2 linked regions of the Notamacropus eugenii genome follow. The protein of the gene in region 2 purifies or fractionates together with the protein of the main gene of each other region. This does not show direct contact. Links are inferred from orthologs where the notes say so. Each region holds a gene or a part of one and is shown on either strand. Other genes may lie near its edges.

Evidence for each region.
Region 1: the proteins of RNF146 (region 2) and HLTF purify together in Homo sapiens (affinity purification with mass spectrometry; 4 studies listed by BioGRID and IntAct, with this or other methods). This does not show direct contact. The link is inferred for Notamacropus eugenii from reciprocal best matches to the Homo sapiens genes RNF146 and HLTF.

Annotation. Positions count from the first base shown.
Region 1 is NC_092877.1:337,867,228-337,882,556, forward strand, and holds the start of HLTF (helicase-like transcription factor), read right to left. Parts: upstream 6,346-15,329; 5' UTR 6,109-6,345; coding exon 6,089-6,108; intron 5,745-6,088; coding exon 5,715-5,744; intron 1,165-5,714; coding exon 960-1,164; intron 1-959. UniProt on the Homo sapiens protein: Has both helicase and E3 ubiquitin ligase activities. Possesses intrinsic ATP-dependent nucleosome-remodeling activity; This activity may be required for transcriptional activation or repression of specific target promoters.
Region 2 is NC_092873.1:211,136,647-211,151,975, reverse strand, and holds the start of RNF146 (E3 ubiquitin-protein ligase RNF146), read right to left. Parts: upstream 6,876-15,329; 5' UTR 6,598-6,875; intron 6,317-6,597; exon of another isoform or gene 6,188-6,316; intron 5,866-6,187; exon of another isoform or gene 5,740-5,865; intron 5,684-5,739; exon of another isoform or gene 5,275-5,683; intron 5,084-5,274; exon of another isoform or gene 4,993-5,083; intron 4,973-4,992; exon of another isoform or gene 4,609-4,972; intron 2,718-4,608; 5' UTR 2,630-2,717; intron 1,401-2,629; 5' UTR 1,373-1,400; intron 1,018-1,372; exon of another isoform or gene 1-1,017. UniProt on the Homo sapiens protein: E3 ubiquitin-protein ligase that specifically binds poly-ADP-ribosylated (PARsylated) proteins and mediates their ubiquitination and subsequent degradation. May regulate many important biological processes, such as cell survival and DNA damage response.

The sequences.
Region 1 (15,329 bases), on a different chromosome or scaffold from region 2:
TAGTACCCAGAACACTTTTTCCGGGATTTCTGACTAAGGCTGTAGAAGGATATTCTCTCTCTCTCCCTTCTCACATAATGTGGTAAACTCTATTTTCTGGTACTGTCCTTTTTCATAGCTGAAAGAGCTAGTCCTAACCAGATAATCCTCACCCCTCCCAATTTGTTCATTTACCAAAACTGTATCTTAATTTTGTAGTTAAGAGTTTGTTTTGAAATTCCCAAAATATCCTATTTTGCTAAGACTAACCATCAAACACTTTAAAATTCTGTCACAATAGATATAGCTGTTGGAATTTTTTCAAATGCTCATTTCATCTTTATTAGTTCATCAGTGCTGCCTTTTCTGCTTTCTTTTTTGCAAAGTGGCCATTATAAAAACATACAATACTTCAGTTAAAAAACAAAAACTGTCTACTTTGTTGGTAGCTTATTGAGTGCCAAAATTAGACTACATGATTGAGGAGAAGCAAGAGCTTAAAGAAACACGTTACATATGGTACACCAGTAACAAAAGACAGAAACTCATATATGGAACAGAGGAAACCAGTACCTCTTGTAGAGGTAGATAAGGTCCAAAAGCAAAGATTCAGAGAAAATGCATGGATTAAAGAGGCACAGGGCACAGAAAGATAGTGAAAAGACCACAAAAGCAGAGCTAGAAACACTTTTAATGGGGCAGAAAAAGAAGGGAAGAGATATCAAAAAAGTAAAGGATACAATACAAAAATATTATGATAGATCTTTTAAGATACTACTGACTATTTAGCATGTAATAAGCATTTTTTGAAAACATCATTTTCTCCTTCTTACCAAACCATTAACTACCTTGTAATTAATTTAAGGTAAACCCTACCACAGAAAATTGCATTTGCTAAACATTATTTCCTTTGAGAATATTTCAACTGTAGAATTAATATCCAGACTACTAAACCAAGTGAACCATCATACTCTACTTACCACTCCTGTGTAATATCGTAATCCAACCACATGGCCTCGCAAAGTTCCAAATAAAACTGAATCTAGATCTTCATCACTAGCTATCAAGTCCTCTGGAGGGACCTCTTCAGGCTCAAAAGGAGAAAATAAATTGGAATAGGTGCAGTGTGAAAAACTTCCATGGACTCCATATTGGAATGACTGCAAATATTTCCAAAGAGGATCCCTATTTAAAACAAGGGGGGTGGGGGGAGGACGGGAAGTCAAGTCTTACTTTGCATGAAGTTGTCTTTTTTTATTAAATATAAGCAAATTGTTACTCAATATTGTAAAGATGATATATAAGGAAGGTTGTATGGTAGTGATCTGGGAGTCATAATACTTGTCTTTGGTTCTACCATTAACTGAATGACCTTGACCAAGTCCCATCACTTTTGTCCTCAATCTATAAAATGAGGGGTTGACAGGCAGCATGGTAAAACTGGAGAAAAAGGAAAAAAAACAAACAAACCAAATTTGGCATCAAAGGAACTGGGATCAATAAGGTCCTTTCCTGCTCCAAGGTTTCTCCCTCTTTCCCCTTTTAAGTGACATGGTCCATCTAGGACCTCTCATTGTCCCTTGACTGAACTACTTTTAGGAACCATTAGTTCAGAAAATTTAGTATCTCTTCTTCCTGGAATTAAGTAAAGTATTTATAGATTTTATATATCCTGCAATTTTAATGTAACGTATTCTGAATACCTAAAACAGGTTCCAATTATTTTCTTCTAAACACTCAGGTAAAATCCAATTTTAAGGAATATAACTTTAATAGTGTACTGTTTTATAAAGTACTATTTCTATATCCTTGTGAACAGATTTTTGAGAATTTTGCCCATTTGGTTTCAGTGAATCTTTTTTATATACCACCCTCTTCTGGCTCACATCAAGTACGTACACACCAAATATTCCAATCAACAATCCCTTAAAAGTCACCATCTCTAAACTTGGTCCAAAATAACTGGACCAATGGCTCCTCCCACCCAAGTCCAATACCTCTTGACCTTCATTTTAGGGTCCCATGGTATAGTTCCTCTCGTTTCCCCTATTCCTGAAACATGACCTACCCAAATTCTTTCCCCATGACCACAGATTATCTTTATAATACATCTGTCACCCCAACTATGAAATGTAAAGTCCTGCAGAATAAATGACTTCACATGTTCCTTTCCATGTGGCTGACAACCTATTTACAAAAAACTTTCTTTTAATTCAAAATATATGCTTTATATTGTAACTTTACCTGTATGTCAAAATCTTAATGAGGGGATTAAAAATAATGCCATTATAAAATAGCTTACCTCTACTATATGAGAGTATGATTATTTCAATAGGTAACAGCAATTTTAGAAATATCAAATTGATGTTCACATGGCACGAAATTTTATCAAATAGCCATTCTCCTCTCCAAAAGTGATTTACAATTAAGAGTCATTTCCTAAGCGTTTTACTGTATTTACGTAGCATATGCTTGCTACCAGTCTTCCCTCCAAACATATCAATCAGTACATTTAAATATATAAATCAGAAAACATAAACATCATTAATGACTAAGTCATGAAAGAGTACTTAACCTGGATCTGTTAATTTGAAAACTTTGCTAACTGTATTTCAATGTAATTGTTTTCATTTGTAATCCCATGTATTTAAAAAGTACTTAAGTACTTAATTACAAGTACTTAACCTGGATCTGTTAATTTGAAAACTTTGCTAACTGTATTTCAATGTAATTGTTTTCATTGTAATCCCATGTATTTAAAAACATTATTTTGAAAAGGGGTCAAAAGGCTTTATCAAACTAACAATTAGGTCCACAGAAAAGTTCAAGCACACCTGCAATGGATTTGTGCTAAGATTCTAGCAAACTCTTGCCATTAAAAAAATTGCTGTTTATATTCTACACACACACACACACACACACACACACACAAACCGCCCCCCCTCCCCCCAATTCCTTATACAATGCTGGTGCTGGATTTGGATTTTGAGGATACAGTTTTTGGTCAACGATTCAAGACTAACCAGTTCTGTTTAATGATTCAGTAGAAGTTAAACAAACCTACAGACTGAATTCTAATAATAGTTAAAATTTATATAGTACCTACTCTGCACCACGCTAAGCCCCTTAAAATCATCTCATTTGATCCTTACAACAACCATCCTGGGAGGTAGGTACTACTATTATCCCCATTTTACAGATGAGGAAATGGAAGCAAACAGGGGTTAAATGACTTGCCCAGGGTCACGCAGGACGGTAAATGTCTGAGACTGAATTTGAACTCAGGTCTTCCTGACTCCAGGTCTAGGTGTCTATCCACTCTGTCACTTATGCCTCATAATGCTACAGTACTATAATAAATCAGGATTTCACTTAAAAACATTTAAATCACAATAGTTTATCATGTATTCTCTTAATCAACAGATACTAAAAATGAAAGAATAATGTGGAGGTTCTTTCAGTTTTTTGCACATAGAACCACTTATCCAAACTATTCTTCAAAATCTGTCTGGAAACACCAATCTTTGTAAAACTTACTTTAATATGTTATGCTATTTCAAAAATCAGTACAAAAACTATGCAAAATTTCCACTGACGGATATGGAAGCAGCAAAATCCTAATATTTTTTCTTTAGCTCTCTTTCCACCTTCCTTTCAGTGCTTCAATTGCTACTCTGTGCCAATGGCTTCCAACCTCTCCCCAGATCCTGTTCCACATTTCCCACTCCTGCCTGACACCTGCATTTGGACGGATGCAACGCCAGCATTTCTACCTTACTCTGGCCAAATTAGTCTAGTAACTTTCCTCTCTCCTAGCAGCTCAGAATTCCTCAATTCCTCCATGATAATGGCATCATCACTATTTGGTCAGGCTGCTCAGTCACCTTTTGCCTCTCTCTGCTTCAACTCACATATATCCAGGCAACAAGTTTTTACAATAAATCAATAAAATGCATCCCCTCTTTTCCATTTCCACTGTGACCATTCTAGTTCAAGTTCCCAGCACCTTTCACAGTCTCTTCTCTCTACAATCCACCCAGACTCAAAGCAAAATTTATCTTCCTAAAGTACAAGTCTGTTTTATCATACATACTGTACTCAGAAAATAATAGTTAAAAGCACTTTCTATAGTGCTTTCAGGTTTGCTAAGTGGTTTGTGTACATTATTTCAAAAACTTTCAATAGCTTCTCCTTTTTACTGAATGAAGTTCAAATTCCTTAGTCTAGCATTCATACTCCTCCTCTTTCCTATAAAATAAAGTCCAGATTCCCTATTCCTGCCCAGTAGGGACTCCACCAACTCTTTCAAACTTCTCTCTCACAATTCCCTACATCCTAGAACATCTCTCCCAGCTTTCAAAGCCCAACTCAAGTGCCACCTCTTTCTGTCTCTGCCTGGCAGAGTAGGCACCAAATGTTTCTTGACTGACAACCCCTCCCACCCCACCATGAAGACACCTAGATCCAAGCCCCAGGAAAAGATCTCTTGTTAGTCCCAGAGCACCTTGCTAGAACCTTCCCTAAGGCCTCCATTCCAGGCCGAAAAGCCAATAGTGTTTGTACAGTGAATCTGCATTTTAAATGTGTTTATCTCCACTGCTAAAGGGTTCATTAGTTCCAGGGGGGCCACAATCTTGTTATACATTTATGTGTACGTACCCATAGTGTGTAAACATATATATATGTACACACACTATATACTGTACACCCACCATATGCTATATATACATGCTATGTACTATTTATACACACACCATATACTATTTATACACACACTACATACTATACATACACACACTATATACTACATACACCACATAGTACATATACATGCCAGGTACTATTTATACACACACTACCTACTATACATACACACACCGTACTACATATGTATATACACACACTATGTACACACTACCCACTATACACACTACCTACTACACATACACACACCGTACTACATACGTATATACACACACTACATACTATACATACACCACATACCACATATACATGCCATGTACTATTTATACACACACTACCTACTACACATACACACACCGTACTACATACGTATATACACACATTCTAGACTACATACACACTACCCACTATACACACTACATACTACACATACACACACCGTACTACATACGTATATACACACACTACATACTATACATACACCACATACCACATATACATGCCATGTACTATTTATACACACACTACCTACTACACATACACACACCGTACTACATACGTATATACACACATTCTAGACTACATACACACTACCCACTATACACACACACCATACCACACATGTATGTACACACTACACACACGCTACATGTTACATACGTATACATATACAGTACACAAGCACCATGAAGGGTCCGAGGACGGGTAAGATTCAGACTCCTCACCAGAACCCCAAATTGCCTCTCCAACATACAAACGCCCCCTCCCCCCCACTTCACGCTTCAGGGCACCCCAAGTGCCCGAACACTGTGGGGCAGCTCGGGCACGCAGACGGGGAGCCCCCGCCCGGGGAAAACTTGAGAGTCTACGTCCGAGGAAAACCACCGGCCCCGCATCCCGAGCGGCGTTTCCTTTCCGAACCATCCAGACAAAAGCCCGGGGCCCCGCAGCGGCGCGCGGGGTCGGGCCCCCGGGAGCTCCGCGCGTGGGCTCCGGGGCCGCAAGTTTAAAACGCAGTAAGGGGAACTCACACTTTAAAGAACACCTGGGGCGCGTCCGTCCTAAAGGGAGGTAAACAGAGCGCTCCGGTCAAGCTCGCCGCACCGCACGGTCTCTTTCCAGGTCGGGGCTGTGCGTGTTTGGGGGTTTTCGGACCCCTTTAAGCGGGACTCCCGCAGCGGGACAGGTGAGGGGCGGCGATGCCCGGTGCCCTCCTCCTCCCTCGCCCCTTCCCCTCCCCCAGCGGCCCGGGCCAAGGTCTCGGACACGGGGACCCCTCGCTGAGGGTCGGGGCGGGGATGGGGCCCCTCCCACCCGGCGCGCGCACGGCGGGGACTTCCCGGAGGGGGCCGATTTGGGGATCGGGGGACAACCGTTACCCGCCCCCCCCCCACAGCCCGTTCACCTCCTGAACATCCAGGACATGGCGCTGGGCACGAAGGCGGGGTCCGGGACCCCGCCGCTCTCAGGCCCCCCGGGCCCGCCTCGCCTCGCCGCCTCCGCCGCTCGGGTCCGGGCCGCGCCGCTGGGGAAAAGCGAGGAGAAAGCAGCGAGCGCGCCGCGAGAGGGATGCGAAGCCGAAGCTCTGGCCGCCTCTGCGCTCCGCACCTCCCCTCACCCCACCTCTGCCTCAGCTCCTGCCTCGGCGGCGGCGGCGACGTCGCGTCCCTTCCTCCGCCCGTCGTCGTCGAACGACGCCGCCGTCTCCTTCCCGCAACAAACCCAGCCCCGCGATCTGAGGAGACGGACAGCGGCACGCCCCAATCGAGGGCAGGCTCGCCCCGGCCTCGACCAATCAGCGCGCGGAAGAGGAGGGCGGCGCCCGCCCCCGCGCTGGAATTCAAAGCGATGAGTGGGCCGGGCCCCGCGCGGCTGGTTTCATCCGGGCTTTTCCCCGCCCCCTGGGTTGGCGCGCGGCGCAGTCCCTCCCGCCCGGGGGCCGGCGGGGAGGGCCGAGCCGGGGGAGGGCTCCTCGCTCCCCGCCCCGCACCTGGGCTCAGCTGCCTTCCCAGCAGGGAACCTCCCGCCCCCGTCGGCTTCCCGCAGTCTGAGCTCTCGCGAAACCCCGGGGTCGCCTGGGGACCGCTGCCCCCCGCACGCTCCTGCCCCGTGGCCCGGGACCCCGAGGTTTCCGGGGCTGCGCCTTCGGGAGTAGCCCTGGAAACTAGGTCTCCTTCTGCCCCTCTTGGACACTTAATCAGAACTTGGACGGGCCGGTTCGTTCTTTGACCTTGTGATTTGTTTCTAAAAAAGAATTCTTTAGGGAAAAAATAAACTGAAAAACACAAAGTTGCCAAGAGCGTGCATTGCCGGAGGCACGACCGTGCCCCCGGGGGCATTTTTCTCCAGCCGCGCACTTGCGGGAGGGGGTTCCCACGCCCGGCTGGCACCTGCCTCAGTGCCCCGGGGCATCCCTGCACAGCAGGGAACCTGGGCGCTCTGGGTAACAATCACCCCGGAACCGCCTTGGAACGCGGTGCTCGGTCTTCACAGCCCGCTCTCGACGCGGCTCCTGAATCCGCTTGGAGGGGCTTCCCCGTTTTATTTTGGGGTGAAGACAGCCCAAGAAGTAAAGCTTGGGACTGAAGCCAGATGTAACTCCTCTGGGACCAGATGAACACCGGGTTCAGAAGCCAGTTTTACAAGAAACACTACGGGCAACCGTGCCTTGAGTTTCCCTATGACCCTAAGGCTCCCCCCAGTCTGTTTGTAATTTTTTTAATTAATTTATTTAACTTTTAACATTCATTTTCACAAAATTTTGGGTCCCAAAGGCTCTCCCCATTTCTCCCCTCCCCCCCAGTCTGTTTGTAATCTGTCTGCCTTTTGACCATGTTTTGGAAGTCCGTTTGACCAAGCTCTGGAGATAAAGTGTTTGATGGGCACAGAGATGGTTTCGATCCAGACTCTGAATGGGGTCCGATTGAACTGACGGCCCGCGGCACGAGCTCAGAGGATCCAGACTTTATCGTGTCAGTTTCCCTAGCCAGATGTCGTCATCAGGGCTCTCCAGCAAGTGAGCCCGGGCTAAGTGCCTTTGTGTGGCATGTGGTAGGAAAAGCAGATTATTCTCCCCTCAAACCAGGCATCATCAATGTTTCCCTCTCCTGATTTAACGCTATTCTTCTTAAAATTCACCTGTACCAAGGTACTCCTTCATATGTGTGTATATGTGAGTGTGTACATATACATATATGTGCGTGTATGTGTATATATACATACATGTGTATATATACATACATATGTGTATATATATATATATGAGTGGATCAAGAAATGAAGAGAATCTTCATTTTTCACCAACATTATTTACCTATACAGAATGGACAGATACCTATCTCTCATCCATGTAACTGTTAAGATATAGTCCTCAAGTTCTCAATATACATGTCTGTATATATACATATACATATGTCATACACATATACATATTGTAACATTTCCCATATTCTCCAAATGTTATATATGTATTACAGTATATAGGTATGTATGTACACATATATATGTATGTATATGTGTCAATTATATGATTTAATTTATCATAATTTTATTTGATTGAATATATAATTTATATACTTATATAATGATGTCATGTCACATACTTATATATACATATATAAGTATATAATATGTAATTTATTAATATAAATTTTATGTGATATGCAATATGTTAATATTTAACATACACATATAAATTATAACTATGTAAACTGTACAGTGAATTTGTATACATATAAATTAATTTTCACAGAGGAGTCACCCTCGTATCACTAAAAGAATGTTGGCATATTATCATCATAATCAGTAACTGTGTCTGAAGTCTAAGGCAGGAATTTGGAATTGCTATTTTTGCCCTAAGCCTGGTTACCATTTTCCAGAGTCCCCTTTCCCATTCCCAGATTGCCTTCTATTTGGGTGGATTCCCATAGAATTTCCTTATCAATGGAAATCATTTACACATTTTGTATTTCCAGATTTGTTCCAAAAACCCTGCTCCCAAAAAAAATCCCTTGGAGGCCCCAGGATGAGACTCAGTAACCTTTCACAACTCTACCATAGGACCAAGACCATGCTTCTTTCTCAAAAATTGTTAGTTTTTGTTTGATTCCATTACCCAACACCCACCCTCATTCTAACGCCCTGGCAGGAGTTCCCATGAAACAGATCTGAAACTGCTCTGAAACACCTACTTCCAATTTTCTCCAGTTCCTGATTATCCTTATATTGGAGTAAAAATTTTCCTTTCAAAAATAAGAATAACAATCATTACATACAGAATCCTGGAATCATACATAATAAAATGATAAATATTTATTAATTGATTAAAATTGATAGGGTCATATCAGATGTCATCTAGTCTAGCATTTCAAACTGTGGGTCGTGATCCCTTATGAGAGCATGAAAAATCTAGCAACAGTAAAAGATTTCTGAAAGTGCACCAACCAAAAATTAATTTAAAATCAAACATGCAATGGATCCAAGGTGTTTCCTGGTAGCACTTATATCTGCAGCTTCACTGCAGCCTTGGTTTTGAATACACACACACACACACACACACACACACACACACACACACACACACACACACAGAGCATGTGCACTTTGCACTTTGAGTGCCCTTAGACCACGAACGCCATCGAATGCTGGTGAAACACAAGATGGGGTCAGAAGTGGAAAAAGTCTAGGAAGCCCTGCCTAGTCTAACCTGTGCATGAATGAGAATACTCTCTACAATATAATATCTGCTAGTCTTTGTGTGAACAGTGTAGACTCTTAGGTTTTCAAAGCACTTTACAAACATTATCTCACTTGACCCTCATGACAACCCTGTGAGGTAAGTGCTGCTATTATTCTCATTTTACAGATGAGGAAACTAAGGCAAACAGAGGCTAAATGACTTAGCCAGAGTCATACAAGTAGTAAGTGTCTGAGGCTGGACATTAACTCATCTCCCACACTTCAGGTCCAGGCTTCTATCTACTGCACCACCCAACTGCCCCAACGTGCCCAAGAAGTGGTCATCCAGCCTTTGCTTGAAGACTTCTGGGTTGGGGTGATGGGGAGAGTGACACCCACAATTCAGGATACTTTTAAATAGTTCTCACTATTAGGGAAGGTTTTAAGGCTGTTTTTTGCCTCTGTAGCTTCAACCAATGACATAGAGCTCTACCCACTGGGGTCATGAAGAAAAAGGTCTTAATTCCTCTAACACATGAAAATCCTCACAGAGTTTTTTAAAATGATCATTTCTGCTCCAACTCTTCTCTTCAATAAGGCTAAACACCCCTACATCTTTCTATGTATGGTGATGATGGTGATGAGGATGATAGCTAACATTTACAGAATCCTTAATATGTGCCAAGCACTGTTACCTCATTTGGTCCAAACAGCAGCCCTGTGAAGTAGGTGGTATTATTATCCCTATTTTACAGATGAGGAAACTGAAACAAACAGAGGTTAAATGATTTGCTGAGGATCACACAGCTAGGAAGCATCTAAGGTGACATTTGAACTTAGGTCTTCCTGATTCCAGGTTTATAACTGGTTTCCTTTGTAATCCTATGAATTTATCTTGCCCATTTAAAAAAACATGATTCTGAGAAGGGGTCTTTATGTTCCATGTATTTTGCTTGACTGCCAAAGGGATCCTGGACACATAAAAAGCATTAAGAACCTGTGCTTTAGATGGTCTCCAGCTTCTCAAAGTTCTTTCTAAAATGTGGCATCCAGAAATGAACACAATATTCCAGCTGAATTCTGATCAGGACAGAATGCAGCAGGGCTTTCCCTTCCTTACTTCTGGACCCTATGCCTATCCATGAAGTCTAAGGTCTATTTACCACATGGCACTATTTCACTATTTGGGCAGGTAGGTGGCACCATGAATAAAGCACCAGACCTGGAGTCAGAAAGACCTGAGTTCAAATCTTACCTCAGACATTTACTACCTGGGTTCCCCTGGGCAAGTCACTTAATCCAGTTTACCTCAGTTTCCTCATCTGCAAAATGAGCTAGAGAAGGAAATGGTGAAACACTCCAGTATCTTTGCCAAGAAAACCCCAAATGGAGTCAGAGAGAGTCAGACAACTGAAGAAAGACTGAACCACAAAAAAAAAAAATCTATGTTACTAATTCATATTGAACTTAAGTTTCACTTTTTCAGATAAACAGTTGTCTATTCTGCCCCACTCCCTCCCCCAGCATCACCTTGTACTTGGGAAAATGTTTTGTTTTTGATGTAAGGATAAGGCTTTACAATTTGATTAGTGTACAGGAGGCTCCGATAGACTCCTCATTTTATATTTAGAGACACTGCATGGCGTTGTTTGTTTCAGAACTTTGTAACTCACCCTGTGAAAACATTCTTTTCCTCCCATTTTCCACATTGTCATTATTTCTCCTTTTATTGTTGTTACTGCTATTATTTCTTGCTTCCACTCACCAAAATAAATGGGGGGGGAGGTCTGAAAAACCCAGAGATACCAACACTGCCTTTCAGTGTTATCATGAAACAATTCAGTTTCCTGTTTTGACCATGTGCGGGGCATAGAAATTTACCAGAGGTCAATGGAGTCCTATCAGGAAATTCATTAATCAAAAACATTTAATAAACATAAGTGTTTACTATGTGCCAGAAACATCACTGGACCTTGCAGATACACAAAGACAAGCAAGATATTCCCTGACTTTAAGGAACTTACCATTAAATTATAAGCATCTCTGAAAAATGTATCATTGGATATTACTTGTGTTAATGTGTGACCATAGTCTTTATTAATATGCTAATGTTTACATTCTTCAAATTGAAAGATGAATGGTGAATAGAGGGTCAGTTCTGGGTACGAGAAGATCTGGTTTTAAGTGTTACCCTTAATAGACTAGCTATATGACCAAGAGTGCTGGGCTTGGAATCAGGAACACTCATCTTTATGAGTTCAAATTCAGCCTCAGACACTTACTAACAGTGTGATTCTGGGCAAGTCATTTAACCCTGTTTGCCTCAGTTTCCTCTTCTGTAAAATGAGCTGAAGAAGGAAATGGCAAATCATTCCAAGTGAGTGGGATAGGTTTAGTGAAGACTTCTCAGATTGTAATTCTTCTTCCAGGGGTGAGGTAAGACTGAGAGGCTCAAGGTTACTATATTTTTAGAACAGAATAATTCCATATAAGGATATAAAACTGTGTAGTACATTAGGGTCTCAATGATTGGATAAAGTTTACCTAATTCTTCAATGTCTTCATTTCCAAAGGGATTGGTTAGATTTCATGTCTAGAATGTAAGATCATATTTTCAGCTAATGAGAATAATGGTCAGTGGGCGGGGGGAGGGACTTGCGTTAGAGTCTATATAAATCACTGTCTTTTCTTTGTCTTCGGCTTTTCCTACTCCAGGTGAACTGGTGTAGGATTGTCCAGATTCTCGAGAATCGAATAAATCTCTTTTCTGTCATCACTTTGAGAGGCCTCTGAGTAATTGATTTATGTAGGGACCTGAGCCATCCCACACACAAGCAACCCAAATGGGGTCACCAAGTGTTGGACACAACTGAAAACTACTGAACAGCAACTTGACAAAGATCGTGGCAATTAACCTCTGTTTGCCTCCAGCAACACATCAAAGACCTTGACCCTATCAGAAGAAGACATAGTTTTATCAATGGCAATGACCTTTGAGAAGAAGTCATCTGCTTTGCCCCAGCACCCTAAAGACCCCTAGGCTTTTCCACTTGACTTACATTAGAAAGCTCTATTAGGATATAAACTCCATGAGGACTAGGATTTTCTTTCCTTTTTACTCTATTTTCAAGGCTTTCATTCATCCAGTCATTAAAACAGTGGATGACCAGAGTTGCTGGTTTGCATTGGTGAAGGGAGGCTGGGAAGTATCACACATCCACAAAGAAGGTTCTTTACACTGATGACATCATAGGTCTGAATTGCCCTCACAAAACTTTTTTTCAATTAAGTTGAAAATATTCCCTCTATAGTCAGCCCCCTTAGTTTTACCTCATCCTCACAAAGAGCAGCTAAGACTGCATATACAATGGAGAAGAAATTTGACTCATGGGTAGAGTTGGAGGTGTATTTTGCAATCCTGGCATCCAGTTGATTGCCTTGACAGCACTGGCATCAAACCTGCTGAAGAACAGAAAACTAGTGTGATTTATGAGTAACTCAGAAATAGACTTCAGAGCTTAATACCTAAACCCTAGGTTCTGGTCTAATTTGGGATTTCTGGAGGGGGACTCATCCTAAGTCTTCAGGTGGAGATCTAATGATTTCTTGGCAGAGATGTAAGAAGAAAAGGGTTGCCCAAATTGGGATATGCCTCTCATCAGTGGGGTATGTGTGTTCATGCTTCGTTGCCAAAGAAGACCATGCCATCAGAGAAATAATGATATAACTTGCACTTGACTTTGTTTTGAGTGAGGGGGGGCTGTGCAGGTCACCAGCCTCACCTCTCCTCCAGAGCCATCTGAATCCAGTGACCAAATATTCATCAGGATGACTGAAGATGACCCAGGATAAGGCAATTGGGGTTAAGTGACTTGCCCAAGGTCACACAGCTAGTGAGTTACAAGTGTCTGAGGTGAGATTTGAACTGAGGTCCTCCTGACTCCTGCACTGGTGCTCTATCCATTGCACCACCTAACTGCTGTAGTGGAGTATGAGAAGAGATCAGGGGAGGAGGGTAACACTGTGGAAAGAGTCCTGGATTTGGAACAGAGAACCTGGGTTCAAATCCTCGTTCTGCTACTTAATCCTTTGCTATTTTTGATAAGTCACTTCCTTTTTCAGGGCTCCCACTTCCTCATCTGTAAAATGAGGGTGTTGGGTGGATGGTGTCTAAAGTTCCTTCCTGCTCTAAATCATTGAACCCATAAAGCCCCTAGCTGATGATGTCCTGAAGAGCCAAAACGGGGAAGGAAAGGAGATTTTTCAGTGTTCCCAATCTCTGGTCCTAAATGGAGATGACTTCCCGATTTGCATCTCCATCCTCACCATTCATTCATTAAAGAGTGATTTATTTAGTACTTGTTACGTGTATAGAGTAACTGACTGTGCTGGGTACTCCAGATGTTTGCAAACAGAACCAACCCAAAGACTGGGTGGTGTCTCCAGGACACGTGCAAAGTCTCCACCCCCTTTCTATGATGCTGAGGTTTCTGCTATAAAGTTTTGGCACTAACAGGGTTTCAGATTCACCCTGCCCACTAGGCTGGCATGGGACATTTGAAGTTGTCATATGATCACTACATGACAAAGATGCCTTTGAAGAATTTAATGCAGCAACATTCTCATCAGAGATCTCTTCTTTCTCAATGTTTAGATGTCTGGCCCAGAAACTAATGATTAAAAAAAATACTTTTATTCTTAAAGCAAAATTTTTTTTTGTATAACAGGAAGGATTTATTAAAATACACTGTGAACAAATCTAACTTACACCATTAAAAATAGATCACTTTTTTTCATGTGTTTGGGACTTGATTCATTCAAATATATAGAAAAGTAATTTTTTAAAAAACAAGAATTTTTAAAAATTCCATTCACTGCTTTTAGGGGAAGAAGCTAAAGACGAAGCTCAGAGTGCTTGACAAGTTTCAGAGGCAGTCTGACCCATGTGGAGTCAGGGGACTGGGATTCCAATCCTGGCCCTTTCATTTACTACTTTTGTGAGGTTGGAAAAATTGCTTTACCTCTGATCTTCAGTTTACTAATTTGGAAAGTGAAGGAGTTGGGCTGGAAGACCTTTAAGGTCCTCCTCACCTCCAAATCTATAACTTGATAGCTGCTTCCTGTTGCACTGACTTATAACATACTTAATCACAATTCTGAAAGGCCAAGAAGACTCTTTTTAAAAATAAATTTTTATTGAGCCTTTTAAAATTTTAACTAATTTTATTATCAAAGTGAAAACATAAAAAAACACAAATCTCTATATACATAAAATAGAAAACAATGAGATTACATATGAAATTCTGAATCTGTATATCACGTGCTTGATTTTTAAAAGTATATATCATCACTACACATGAATAACCTATATCACATTACTTACCTTCTCAAAGAGATGAAAGAAGGGGGATGGAGAGAATTTGGAATTCAAAATTTTTAAAAACTAATATTAAAATTGTTTTCACATATAATTTTGAAAAAATAAAATATTCAGACAAGAATATGTTAGATTTAACATGGAAGTACCAATATTGTCCTAACTTTATCCAAATCCTCTTCGGAATTTCCTTCTGCTCTCCCCCAGAACAAGTTCTAAAACCTCGATCTCATCCCTAGGATCTGCCCTCATCCCACCTTTAGGAAAACTGGCTTTTCCTACTCTTATACACTTCACTCTAAAGAAATGCAAAGTGTGGGAGGGTGGGGGGAGGGAAAAACACTAGAGCTTCTAAAGAACAATTTTTTCCAATCTTTTTTGGAGTGCTACAGTTTTTTCTTATTTGTTTGATGCAGTTGGATGGTACTCCAAAAGTACTTTAATGACATGTTAATTTAAAATATGAAAAGTGAATTAAAATTTATTTGCAAGTTTAAACCACACTCAAGGTAAACAGAGGTATTCCGAACTGACTCATGAATGTGAGAATTTGGGAATCTCTCTCCTAGGTTCTGAATGTCTCTTTCTTTTG
Region 2 (15,329 bases):
CTTGCATAATATCAGATCAATAACATAACACTTCAGGTATTACTTTTGTTATTAATAATAACAACCCTATTTCTCTATCCTTAAGAACCTAAGGGCAGAATAGTACCCTTAAAAAAATAAAACATTTTTACTAACTGAAATCATGATTTACACCACCAGGAATTTATATCAGATATAATCTAACATTTTCCTCCAAAATGTGCACAGTTTTATTGATAAATCTTTAGCATTTAATTTTCATCACTATTTTCTGATCATACACAAAAGCAGCAATTTGTGAAGGCTATACAAAAAGACTGATGTTATTTCAAAATCTGCCTTCCTTGTACTTATTTCCAAGCATCTTCTTAATCCAATTACGATATTTCTAATAAACCTTTATTAATTTACTTAACCATTTCAGGAGACAAGCCTTTAAGAACTGAAACCCAGTATCTGGTTGGTGCTTAATGAAATTTTCTAATCTGATGAACCTCTCCCTGGATCAAGTGGCTTTCTTAAATTTCTAAATATTCTTTAGAGGATCCTTTAGGAGGCCTACAAATCTGGGTTCTTAAATTTGGCTCAGAGTATTGAGATCATGGAATATTTCTGAAAAGGTCTTATGAATACTTTGTCTCACATACTAAATTAAAATGGGTAAAAGTCGAGCACAAGAATGAGAATAAAAAAAAAAAACTTTTAACAAATGTAGCTTGCATTAGGTGGTATCCCTTTTTGCTTTCCTCCTTTTAAGATCTATAAAACAAAGAGCAGTAATCTACTCGTATAAATCACCACTGTTTGAGAGACCTCCTGTGAGGCAGAAATAGCAACTTATGTAAGATTTCCAAAGTACTTTTCATGTATTATCACATTTAGTCTTCACATAGATAAGGAAACTGAAGCTGAAATTAAGTGACTTGCCCAATATCACTTTCAGTGGGGAAAATAAAGTAATTGCTAGACTTATCTTAGAACTTCTATCCATCGATTTTCAAGATCTTCATGGTTCTGTTGTTTTCTTCTTTCATAGGGCTAAATCATTTAAGATCATCTTAATTATAACAGTAAGAGGGCTGGGAACATTCTTAAAATTATTTCATATCTAATTCAGTTTTCCAAAGGCACCTGGGGCCATTATAACTTGAGCTTACTTGTTTTTTTCTTCCAAAAAATTTTCAACAATCTGAACATACCTTGTAGAAACCTACAAACTACACCTAAAAGTCAAGGGATAGTGTCAGGAAGACTTAGATTCAATTCCTCTCTGGCCCATACAAGTTGTGTGACCCCAGATAAATCAACTAACTTCTTATTAATTAATTACTCCATGGAATTCCTAAAACTAAGTTACAGAAAAACTATCAATTTGTATCTGTAGTTTTCTCACCTGGACATCCCCATATAGATGAAATCATCTAAAAAAAACAAAGCCATGAATGAATAAAGACCTTGCCCAATCCCTGAAATTAAAACAGCTCACAATCTGTATTATCAAGAATATTTCAATCTTCCCATATAATACCAAATCTTGGGACTTATAGTGGTTCTTCCAACATCCATATCCTTGGATATAATCCAAAGTGCAGGATAAAGATTATCAAAAATCCAATGAAGTAGAACAAATGGATTACCTCTTTAAGTTAAATATAAGATATTTTTTCTTATTTTTTTATGCAATGGTACAAGCAATTTAATACCACAAACTATTCAAAATCAAAAGCTGAAGACAGTTTAAAATATCAACCTTTTTAAAAATGAACTGATTTATAAAATGAACTCAATATGCCAAGATTTAAATGATTTAGGTATGCCTAACTTCAACTTCAAACTAGCCAATTAAATATGTATTGAGGGAACAATGCATATTAAGAGGTCAATGAGATATCTAGTCCAACCATTTTACAGATGAAAAAACTAAAATGTAGAGAAATCAAGCAATTTACTGCAGGTCACAAGTGAGGAATTAGTTGAGCCAAGTATGAAGCCTACATTGTATAGTCACTATCATTAAAAATAACAAAGCCTCACCTTTACTGAATGATGTGAGAGAGGAAAATTAACTTTTACTTTTGATCAAAAGGTGATATATTTGGATTTATCTGTAAGTAAACCTATTAAGAGATCAAACATAGAACTACAGGATGGAAATTAACTTAGCAACCTTAAAAAAAAAAAATCTAAGTACACTGCAAATGATCTTGAAAGGGGAATGTACCTCTGAACTTGGCAAGTCCTCTAATATAAACTCAACCCAAAGCATTTGTGCATTAACGATATTTTACCAAACATGCTCAATTCGGTTTAATTACAAAAGCAGTAATCACAATACTTTGATTTAGGGACTAATTAGAAATTTGTAGGCTATGACCCCCCACTCTTTTCTGTTCTTTCAGTGCCTGCTTGCATTTACATAAAGACAGAATCATTTAGGAAAACTGACAGGACAGAAAACTAAAATTAGATCCCTTTGTTTATTGACATGGAACCTTTACCAAAAACGAAAAAAAAAGGAAAAAAAGACAGTGAATATACAGGACCTCTGCCTTTAATAAAAGAAGCAGTTCACCTAATGGAAAAATCTCACTCTCACACAGACACAGGAAATCATACCTAAGTGAACTACTTAAAATTAATTATTACTTACCTAGCATTATTGACTTTATATCACCAGTTAATTTAAAGATGACAACGTTGTCGTTTCCATCAAAGCTCTAAAAATATTCAGGGTATTTCTGTCAGAAAAATTAAATGCGTTATAAGAGAAATTATTACTTTTTGTCTTTCAAAATTGTACTAATTAATGAAGATATAAAATTACCTCATATTGCAAATGGATATACATTATTTGTTAACCTTTCCCCTCACTTCTCTAATGGAAAAGATATTTTTTCAAATGTCAAATATATTCCATCCCCCCAAAATTTAAATTTTTAAAAACTGAAGCAAATTACGTGAAAAAAAAATTAACCTTTCAACCTCAATTAACCTAGTGAAATTAACACTGATTAAGTTTTTCAAGAGAAAGGTTAGGGAAGCAAAAGCAAAGAGAAAATTGGAGTTAGCTACCAAGTAAACCTGAAATTTCTCTCTCTCTCTCTCTCTCTCTCTCTAGTTCTCCCCTTTTAGATGGAAATGAATGGACTAAAGCTTTCCTTTTTAGCTTCTACTATCATCTTCTACTAATATATTGGTTTACTAACATTTGCTAAAGTACAAATTATACTTTACAGCAAAAGTCTTGATTTAAAACCAGTTTCAATTAACTATATTTCACTTTTTCCCAGCCATAGGCCACAACCTCATTTAACAAACAGAAAAACTTTTCCTTTGTAGTTTGACACTATTTACAACCTTAATCTTTCTAATTAGGGGGACATTAAGGATTTAAATTCTCTCTTTAAAATGTCAATGCTGTATGTATCCTATTTCATAAAATAGTAAGCTCTCTTCGCATTCTGCATCTTACTCAAACAAAAAAAACAATGTGATATGCAAAAATTTTTATAAATATAAAAGGTTCTGCTAAAAACTAGCTGTGTAACCTTGGACAATTGATTAACCTCTTAAGACATGTCACCTGTAAGATAATGAGGAACAACTCTAAATCACTTAATATAAAATGAAGGGTTCAGACTACATGAAATTTGACAAGATAATCTTTAATGCTAAATACTAAGGTTTGAGATATAATATAGAGTCATTGTGATCCTAGGCAACTCATTTAATCTCTAGGGGCCTGTGTTTCCTCTTCTGTAAATGAGGGGGCTGGACTAAATAACCTCTAAAGTCCCTTCTAGATCTAAATCTTTGACCAATGACTCTACAATAAATATGCTAAGTTGGTTAAATCTGTGTCAATGAGCTGGTGTCCGCTCTTAACTCAACCAGCTGTTTTGGAAAAATATGATCAGGAGTCATAAACAGATACAAGGAAAGAGAAAGACAGCTCAGCAAACTCTCTTAACCCTAATGAAACAGAAAAGTAACTCAAACCATAATTCCCTATTGGAAGTAGGTCAGGAATTTCATCTTAGTATATCAAGCAAAGCACAGAAATTATAGTTGTAGAATTTACATTAAATACAAATTTTAAAAAAAAAACCTGTATTCTATTATTTTCCATTATTTCAACAAATTACTTTGAAGTACATAGAAAAAAATTATAACTGATAGTGCTAATGGAAAATATACTTCCCTAGTTGACCCACATAACAGGAAAATATTTCTATCCTCCATTTTACCTCGGTTCAACATTTAGAATATTATTCTTACATGACCACTACAAATCCGTTAAACTGATTAACATTCAACACATATCTTGGAGATAACAAAAGACACAACAAAAAACAGAAAGAGTTTTATAAAATTTAGTTAAGTTCCATGCATTTCTGTCTACAATTTCCCTTTGGTCAATTCCAAATTCTCTAGTAAAAACATGTATTGATTTAGCAACACGAAAACATTTAACATTTGCTTTGGCAAATTAAAGCTCAATTACCATCAAATCAAATTTTTATTTTTAAATGGCTTATTTGACCTATTTTCATCAAGTCCCAGCTATTTTCTGAGTTTTTTTCCTGTACCACTGGGGGAAAAATTGGAAATGTATTTATCTGCTCTTACCAAAACAACAACTCCATTTAAAAGCAATCTTCATAAGCCTGCTAGTTTCAGCGACCATAGAAAGAGCCAACTCCTCACAATTTCAGTGCTCTTATTTTTAAAGTGATGGACATACACAAAAGTAGAAGAAAAATGCCTGGCCCCTGAAATGGCAATTACATATAGGAGACACTATTTCTTTTACTGTTGATTGTGTAGCGTTCCGATTCAGTTCCCTTTCCCTTCAATGTTTTGGATCTTTAGCCAAAGAAGCATGCAGGCACTCCCAAAATAGAAGATTTAAGGGACCACTTTAATAAAAGCCAAAAGAAAAGCACTATCACACAAAGAGTGAATTCGAGATCCCATTTCATTAGTGTGCAGATTTTGTCAGAAAAAACTTACACATCTTCAGATTTTACCCATGAAGACTGTTCCATCTCCCCGCACCCTCAAAAAGTGCCTTTCTCCAGAAGCCTTCAGAGAACAAAATAAGCTACAACAATGGAAGAAAACAACACTCTTTGGTAAGAAACGTGGAGAGAGAGAGACAGACACAGACACAGACAGACAGACAGAACCAAGCACAAGTCTATACCCGGCAAACCAAAGCCCATAACGCAACCCGCTTTGTGTTTCCCAGCACCGTGTGAACTCTGATTTTCGGCAGTTTTCTCAAGGACTGACCAGCTGCTAGCTCCAACTCCCACCAAAACAAAGGTCTGCAAGTCCGCGGGCCAGACGCAACGGGGAGAGGGAAGCGGGCGGGGGGCAGCGTGCCCCGCGGGGTGGATGCCCAGCACTGGGCAGCAGACACGTTAAAGACAGACGGGCAAGGGCGGGGGGGGAGGGAATTAGCACTCCTTTCTCCAAACTAGTAACAAGACCGCGGCCGGAACCAGGTTCGGGGGCCTTGGTCACGACACCGCAGACCCGGAGCAGGGACGAAAACGAGCCTCGAGCTGGAGGGAGGTGGGCTGGCCTCCCGAGAGACCGCACCTAGCCCCAGGCCCGGGGAATCCGCAGCCCAGGATCGGCGGGAGTTAGCGTGCAGCGCCCCCTCCCCAAGAAGCCCTCCCGGGCCGAGGCCGACACCGCCCCGGCGGCACTGCCCCCCGCGGGGCAGCATGGCTGCTGCTCCGCCTCTCGCACCGGGGACAGCCGCGGCCAGCGCTTCCCTCCGTCTCACAGAGGCGGCCGGGGGCGAGACAGAGGCCAAGGCCACGATCGCCGCCGGCTTCTGGCCCTCGGACCCGGCAGAGGCAGGAAAGAAAGGGAGAAAGGAAGAAGCCGGGGGCCGGGCACTGCCCAGCCCCATCCCCGTCCTCCCCGCCGCCGGTCGGCCGGCCAAAGCCAGGAGACGTCGGGCTTACGCACCCGCACCCCTGGCCCCCAGCCGCCCGACCCCCTCCGGTCTCGAGCGCCCGAATCCCGGCACGTCACGGAGGCGAACGGGACAAGGAAGGGTGCGGAAGGGGGGGGGTGGGGGAGAAAGGAAGGAAGAGATGACACTCGGGAGTTCCCTCCCACGCTCCTTCGTGGACCCCTCGCGCCACCGCCCGTCCGCCTCCAGTCACCCCGACTTCTCCCCGGCCCCCACCTTCCGGGCTACCGCCGCGGCCACTTCGCAGGCTTTTCTCTCCGGCCAACAACCCCGCAGCGCGGAGCCCGTGGACGCGCGGAGACGTCACGTGATGGCACGACGCGCCGGCGCGCCCGGGGAGAGGGGGAGGGGGAGGGGAGAGAAGGCGTGTCGGAGGCGGTGCCGCGCGAGGGCGGGGGTGGGGGGGCGGTTGCGCAGTCCCGCGTGCCTCCCGTGCCAGTTGCCCTCCCTCTATCCTTCGGATTCCGCCTCTCTTATTTCCCTGACCCTAAGCCTCCACCGGGCTGGAAGGGACGGAGGACCGGTTGGCCTGTGACTTGGCCTTCGCCGCCGTCCCCGCGTGACTTCCTCTCCGGGTGTCGTGTCCCCAAAACTCGCTCCCACCCCGCCGCCTGAATTTTTCTAACCTCCTGTTTGAATATTTAGTTCCTACGTGCCAGCCAGCCGAGAGGGACGGGGCGGCGTCCAGACGTCCAGCCCCTAGCTAGGCCATCTTGGGTCTCCGGAGGCCCCGGGCTGGCTCGAGGCCTGGAGAACGCGTCCCGGAGCCCTCGGGGCTGGTGCGGGATGCACGGCCGCGCCCGGGACCAGCATAGCCCCGGAGCCCGCGGCCTAAGCGCCGGACCCGGGAAGGGGGCATCGGGTGCCTGGGCCCCTTCGTGACATGGATATGTTTTTCTCAACAGAAAGAATTCTCGTCTGTATCAAAGCTTCTGGCTAAAAGTAGATCAGCCAAATCGCAAAGGGAGTGATTATTCTTTACTACCCACGGCATGCCGTTCTTTTGCGATTATGTGGACATTGAATCTTTTTAACTGAATCTAAACGTTCTCTCCTTGTACTGAAAGAAGGGGGGGGAGGGGAATTGGATTAGAGGAATGGTAGAATGGCAAATCACCAAAAAAACCCAAACACAGCAAACAAAATAGCACTCCTCCAACTACTGCTGTTTTCATTTTAAGGTTCTGTGTATTTTTTGTCCAATGATTCTTCCCCCATTGTGTCATCAATACCGTTATTTTCATCTGCCAAGCCAATTTTTCCCTAAGCTGTGACTGGCTTAGATCCTGCCATTTATGTCAGTACTTGTAAGGTTTGCAGAGCACTTAACATTGTCTCATTTGAGATAGTTAAGTCACTGTATAAGTGCAGCTTGCTGGCTCGTATAAGTGCTTGTGTTAGTGGCTCCATTTTCCAACCCTGAATTCTTTAAATTAGTCTTAGCCAAATTCACGTGATTTCTTATTACAAATAAAAATGAAATGGGACAGATTCTGTGAGATAGTTTTAATTTCCTGTGCCTTAAATGCTAGTTATGTACTCATAAAAGTTTCCCCCACTTTCAGATGGCATTCCTGGTTTTTCTCATTCTACCTTATTAAAAATGTTAGTATATCTAAGCTTTATGGAAAGCAAATAAGTTTCTTTAATCAAAACTTATTTTTTTTCCAGCAGATTTCAGCATTCAGATTCCTTGGTTTAGTAACTTGTGGAAATGTTCTTTTTATTTTTTAAAAAAGATACTCCTGTTGATTTTAATTAACCACATAAAGTCAGATTTACCAGAAAAAAGTTAAGTTGGTTTGAATACACTCATATACAACTTAAGGACAGATGTATTCTCATCCTTAATAAGTGACCGATCATCTAATTCCTGATGTTCAAAAGTAAATTTTATATCAAGGTATTCAGTAACATGATTTAAGGTAATTTAACAAATATTTTGAAACCTTACTTTCATTTGGTTCTCTAAATCATTTCCCAAGGTTGGGTGAATATGTATTGCCTTAGAAATAAAGGAGATCACATAGTTGAGCTCTGAAAACATTTCAGTTTTTCCACTTTTGCATTTGGTTTTCCCCAGATATATTTTCCAAACTTTTATTTTCCTTGACATTTGATTTTTTAAAATTTTGTTTCTAATTGTTATCCAGATATCCTTCATGTGCTTCTTCTAATAATTGTATTCATGATATAACATTGCATTTTAGCTGTTTTTATTTTAACAAAACTCCAATAAGAAATGGTGGTCCGAAATAATGAATTCTGTAGAATAAAGCAATCTGTAGCATAGGGAGAGGTGAGTCCAGAAATTAGGATTGGTCTTTATTTGGCAATTATGTTATTTTGATAAGTGTAAATAGCCAAGGTAGACATTTTAGGCCCCAAATCCACTTGAACACAGCGAGAGAGTGAATAGAAAACTTATTTATGGATATTAAATATAGTTTGCAAGTCAGTTATTTGAACTTTGAATGATTTTCCTATAGTTTATAAAAGGACTGTTTACTGTCCAAGCCAGCCCACAAACTTTTTACTCCTGATGTAGCTGAAATAGCATTAATTGTAGTTTTGAGTTCTGGGTCCCAAGTTCCTTCTGACCCATCAAGAAGCTGGATATTAGCATGCAGGCTGTGGTAGCTATGTGTCTCTTTCTCTCGTGGCAACATAAGAAGCAAAGAAGAAATAGAAGAATGATTCATTTTTTAACTTCATATTTCAATACAAGCTATATCATTATTACTAGAATTGTCTCACTTAATGTTAGAACATGAAGGGACCTTAGTAATCATCCAGTTCTACTCTCATTTTGTACATAAGGAAACAGAGGATAGAAAGGTCAGAGATGTAGACCTGAAAGAGAGGCATCTAGTCCAAATCTCTCATTTTATTGATAAAACAGGTCTAAGGAGATTAAATGACTTGCTTAAGGTCAAACATCAGGTAAACCTCAGAGGTAAGATTTAAACCCAAGTCCTCTATCTCCCGAGCCAGTGGTCTTTTCATTGTACCATGCTACCTCCTTATATATGGCTGGATATAGTCCAATACTTTTTCTAATACCAGCAGAAGAATGAACCAGTTGCTTGGGGTGGAAGGAGGGTGAGAGGGGGTGAAAATGTGTTTAAGCTCTGATTACTGTCTCTGCAAATGATTTAGATCTAAGGATACGCTGCTAGTCTTTCTCCTGAGCTCCAATTCTGTACTACTAATTGCCTATTAGATATTTTCCTTGGATGACCAATATTCACCTGAAACTTAGCATGTCCAAAACAGAACTCATTCTCTTTATCCTCTAACTCACCCCTCTTATGAACGTCATTGTTTCTACTATAGGTACCACCACCCTTCCCCCTCACCCAGGTTAAAAGGTCTTAGACATCAACTCATCACTCTCCTTTATCACCTCCCACATCCTATCAGTTGTCAAGACTTGCTGATTCTACTTTCACAACTTTTCTCAATCCATCCATTCCCTTCTCTCTATTTATATTGCAATCACCTTAGTTCAGGTTGTCATCACCTAGTCTGTACTGTTAAGGTAGCCTATTGAGTAGGAGTAGTATCCACAGTGTGGATCAGGTTAGGATTTTTTCCCCTAAAAGGAAGAGTTATCCTTGAAACTTGATTCAGGGGCCTAACATTCCAATGGTTGATATGAGTTTCTGATCACCTAAAGGCACAAATGAGGCCAACCCATGAGTAGTCAGTGCCCTTCAGACACTGAAGTACCATGAAATTTGCCACATTCAATATGCTTTACTGACCAGAGGTGTTTTCACATGGAAATGAGAATGACCTACATTTACCAGACAGAGATATAGCCTAGCTGAATATCCTTTCCATTCTATAGCTAAACAAACTTCTTTTTGTTAACTGTTAGATATCCCATGGGTATCTCATTTTGTTCCATTTTCAAACTTGAAACACCAAATCAACTCACTAAGACAGACTCAGCCTATGATAGCTTCCTAATTGGATTCCCTGCACCCAGTCTCTACTTTAATCCATCTTCCATACAGCTACCAAAGTGATATTCCTGAATCACTGGACAGATCACGGCACTCCACTCCTCAGAGAGTTTTGCTGGCTTTCTAATTCCTCTAAGATAAAAATAAAAAACTGTTTAACATTGAAAACCTTTTACAACCAATCTTTCTAGGTTCATTAAACTATTACTCCCCTTCTCAAATTCTACATTTTAGCCAAACTGGCCTACCTGACATTCCCCACATCCACCATTCTATTTCCCATCTTTGCAATGCTGTTCCCCATGCAAGGAAAGTATTGCCTTTCTTGTGACAACAAGGAGGTGAAACAATCTGCCTAGATCCCATGGAAGCAGGTCCTACTGGCAACCAAGTGGGCAAAGACTCAAAGTTTACCAGCAGGGACACTCATGTGGACAAAAGCTTACCAGAGGGGGCACTCATGTGGACAGTGGTATAGCCCATCCCTCTTTTATTTTGCTATAATTTAGAACTGATAGAGCCTCTCTACTAGTACAGTACCTGGTGTTTTTATTTTTGTTTGTTTTGTTTTGTTTTTGACAGCTCCTCTGCATAGAGTTTAGAGTTCCAAGGGGTGGCACTGTTTGAAGGTAGCTTGCCTTCTTGTGATGGGGAAAGTGAAAAAGTCTGCCCAGCCCCTCCAAACTGGAGGAAAAGAGGCAGTCTTTTATAAGTGGAATCTAATAGGGCTAAAATCTGGTAGGCACCCACCCACCCTACCCTTAGGTTCCTGGGGAGAAGGAGATAGGAAGACTTTCGCAGTACAGAATGATTCCCACTACCAACCCTAAGAGGCTACACGTAGGAAGGCAATGATGTTTTAGCCACCTTATTACAGATTACCCAACCTGTGATGAGGATCAGTGAGTGACCTCAGTAAGTGTCATCACCTGGGCAGTAGCCTTAATGTGCTTGATGCAGATCCTACTCATAGTAACCTCTTTGTATCCGGAAACCTACTGTGAACTGAAATTATTTGGCATCACCAATGTACCATATCATTTAGGTCCATTATTCTGTTCCCTTGAAAGTGGAAAGTAAGGCCTGGGATTTCTAGTCTTTGTTTTCACCTATTCAGTCATTCGTTCAGGGAGTTATCACAATTTTTTTTTCATGTTTTGTTTTTGTTAGCTTACTGGGTTTATTTTTCCCCACCTTCAGTGCCTTCTAAGTCAGAGTCCTTGCATCCTTGATGTCAAGGTTGTTTAGTAACAGTTCATAAGAGAAGTGATTATTTTTCCATTATTTTAATAACTAATAATTAATTTAGGATTAAAGCTTTTTTTCTTTATGTCCTCATTCAGGGACCAGCCCCTGTAAGGCAGTCAGTCTCTGAAAGACATTGTTGATAGATGACATTGCCCAAATCTTCAGGAACATGGTCCTGGATCTTGGGCAGAACCACACCCAACTACAAGACTTTACTTCTGGTTAAAGTGTAAACAGAATCTAATCTAGAGGAATTCTAGCCCCAAAGCAAGTCCTTGCACCCCTCCAGTGAAGTTGGGGGTAACCCATCTCATGCAGGGGAAAATGAAGCAGTTTGGGTAGAGATGTATTCCTTTGTTCAGATTACTGTCTCATGATCAAGCCAAGTTCTCAGCAGGAAGAGCTGAAGGCTTTCAGCCTGCATCCTCATTTGAAAGCCCACCCCCTCATTACTTGTTCATCAATCAATGTTGAGTTTTTACCTGTCAAGGATACCCCCCTTCTCAAAGATATTTAAGCATTCAGTGATCTCCATGGTTTTGTCTTTGGTTACCAAGAGAAACCACTAGCCATCAATTTATTATCAGCTAGCCTAATTAATACATTGATTATTAATTATCCAGAAACTCTACCTCTCAGCCTTTTCATTCATCTCATCCATAAACCATTTATGGGACAGAAAGTCTGGTAGAAGACTGTTAAGATCTTAGCACCAAAGGATGGGGTCTGATGAGAGCAACATCCTAAGGCCTCACCCCATGCAAGTGAGGCTGGTTTTTCCTTAAAGGTATTGAGACTGTACTTGAGATTTAATTGGTTCAGGACATTAGGGTTCAAGCCATTGGTATAGCTTCCTGGTCACCTGCTTAAAATCAATCACCAACACCACCACCCAAAAAATGAAAGACTGGGGGTCCTCTCTTAGATTCCAAATCTAAGGTACTCTCCTCCAAACTAGACTGGTTATTCTTGGCCGGAAACAGAATGTCCAGGATAGGGTCTTATTCAGATGAGTGTCCTGGTATTTTACATCTGAAACTGTAGTGAAATCAGACACATAGTTTATCTAACAGTTAGCTAACAAAAAAGGTCTACTTAGCCAAAGAGCAGGGGGAAGACTTTCAAAGTCAGTGCCAGTTGTCTTTCCATTCTATAGTTAGAGACCTGAGGGAGTAGCCTCAGCCCAGGAAATCCTGAATGTTTCAGATTAAGGAGATAAGAAAGATATGACAGTGTCCTGAGCCTTAGTCTTCTGATCCAATAAAGTTTCAAAGACTGTGTCAGTGCCTTAAAAACAAAACAAACAAACAACAACAACAAAAAAAAAATTAGTCCAGCTTGAATGATGGAAAGGGAATAGAAAGTGAGGTGAGGGTTAAAGGTCTTAGGATATTGCTCCTACCACATCTTACCCCTTGGTGTTTTAATGGTGTTCTAGTAGACTTCTAATCACTTGAATGACATTAGGGCTATTACAAAAGGAGACTTGTGAGACATCTGCTAACATAGGTGGCACTGAAAGAAAAAACAAAAGCAGATAGACTACAGACACAAAACATGACTTTAAAAAAATGCAACGGTTCTCCGAATAAGTAATTGAATATGGGAGGACAAAGACCTAAAATTCCAGGCCCTATGTCTCCTTTTGGGATCAAATGATTGGTCTAAATGATTTCGTCCTCATGTTGGGTGAGGGTGATGCCATATATTTGCAGTTCACAGTGAATCACCACCAGGTATATCAGGGCTACAGTGCAAATGATGACACTTGCTGTTGTCATCTATCCTCATTACAAGAGTCAGGTAAGCTAAAAAATCCTCTTGCTTTTAGCCTGTCCTAGTGCCAAGGTAACTATCAAGAATCACCTTGCTGTATCATCTGCTTGGCACCCTATCAGCTAAGAACTCACCCTGTCTGAAATCTCATGGAGGATACCAGAGTTTTGTTTCATTATGGGGCTTTTCTTTACTGTCTCTCTAATGTGAGGGGCTGAGAAGGCTGCTTTACTTCCCTCCTGCCACCAGAAAGCACGTCACTTCCCAAAACAGCCACTCCTTGGTCTTCCAAGCTCTCTAGGGAAGAAATTGTCCAATGACTACTGAATGTGTATTAGTAGCAAAGTGCAGAGGCCAATCATTCTAGATTACAGTAAACAAAAGGATACAACGTACCCTCCTTTGTCACTGTCTGTGCTATAACCCACCGTACTAGATCTGTGTCTCTAACCATACCCCTTACACTGTGTCTCAAGCCACCACTCACTGCTATTGCCACTGAGGCCTACATAGTGCCTGGCATATAGAAGGTGCTTAATAAATGTTTCATGTTATTGTTGACTGTGCCAACAAAGCTGTGTTGTGTTGTATCCCTCCTGTGTCTGGACCTGAGTGTTATTTCAGGTAATTGTCACTGCCCCATCTTGTGTTGAGTATTGCCAATACAGGGGTCTCCCTCTGTCCCTCTGTGCTGGGCTCCTTATTATTTCCTCCCCCATGCCCATCCCAGCTTTCACTCCACTTCTTATCATGTAGGGGTCTGGACTTACTTGCTCCCCTTAGTATGATGGGTGGAGTATTGCTATGGACCTAGCTGCTGCCCTATGGATATAAATCCCCTCAGTTTAGGGGCATGAGCATTGCTACAGCATTGCCAGTGAAGGGCTTTCCTCTCATCCCCCATGCAAAGACCTAGAGATATTCCCTATGTTCTGCTTTGTGCTGCCCTATTTTTTTCTGAGCTATATACAACACATTACTGGTGCCACAGGCCAGAGAATCACTGTCCCTGGGAATAAGCCCAGAGTTTGGGTTTCTTCTCCTGGCAATTGTCATCCTTTTTTGATGAAGAAAATTTCTCTTGATGTCAGCTCCCAACAGAGAGATGACCCAAAAGCTCTTGATGTCTGGGACTCACAAGGCTGCCATCAAAATTAGTAATGTCCAAGTCAGGATTGCTGACCTGTGTTCAAGGAAAGATACAAAGCAAAAATAAAAAGACACAATGCCAAAGATTTAATAAGGCCAGTACATGTGCCCTGTCTTATGTAAGCAGTAGCCTTTTCTAACAGAGTTGAAGGGAGCAGGGGAAGAGAAAACCATAGCCTGAGCTCCAGAGTGCTCTCATTGGAAGACAAACAGAGAGAGAGAGAGAGTTAGTTAGTTCATGGTTCCAAAGCAAGACTGGAAACTCTCTCTTTTTATTTTTTTAAGTTAAATATAGAAGTAAGCAATGACTTCCTTGTTTTATTGGTACCTTTGGTTTTTTAAATAACAATCATTTCTTGGTATACAGCCCTTCCCCCCAACCCTATGCTCTAATCCTCATTGAGCTTGTGATAAAGAAACCAGTTGAGCAAAACCAATTGACAGAAACAACTTCATTTGACAGTATGTATGACATTCTGCCCCCATAGTTCCCCACTGCCTCTCTACTATGAGAAGAAATGTTTCATCGTTTGTTGTCCAGAGGCAAACTTGTTCATTACAAGTAATTTGAATTCAACTGCTTTTTGGTCTTGTTTTCATTCACTTTATTGCAATCGTTACGTATATTGTTTGTTTTGTTCTCTTTTCTTTGTATCACCTCATCATACAAATCTTCCCATGTTTCTCTGAATTCCTCATGCTCATAGTTTATGTCACAGTTATAGTCTATTTAATTCATATAATTCTATTTGTTCAGCTGTATCTCGGGAGAGGGCTACCCATCTTGGTTACAATTTTCTTCTCCCAGAGTGATACTATGAATATTTAGTTACATTAGGGACTTTTCTCTTTGTCAATGACCAGTTACTATATAAAGAGATTATTGGATAGACAATAAGCAGTTAAGTAACTTTTCTCTCATAGTTCCAAATTGTTTTTGAGACTAGCTTGACCCACTCAGAGCTTCATTAATAGTGCATTAGCGTTAGAAGTTGACTTCCCATTAGGATACCAGTCCTCCTGAATCTTAGTGTCTTCCTTTTGAGGCTACTTCCCATTTATCCTTTCTGTATTTTGTTTGCACACAGTTGTTTGCATTTCCTTTCACATTAAACTGTGAGTGCCTTGACAGCAAGGACTTTGTATCTCCAGCTCAGTGTAGTGCTGGCACATAGTGGTATGTGCTTAAATAATAGTAGTTGACTAGTGTATTA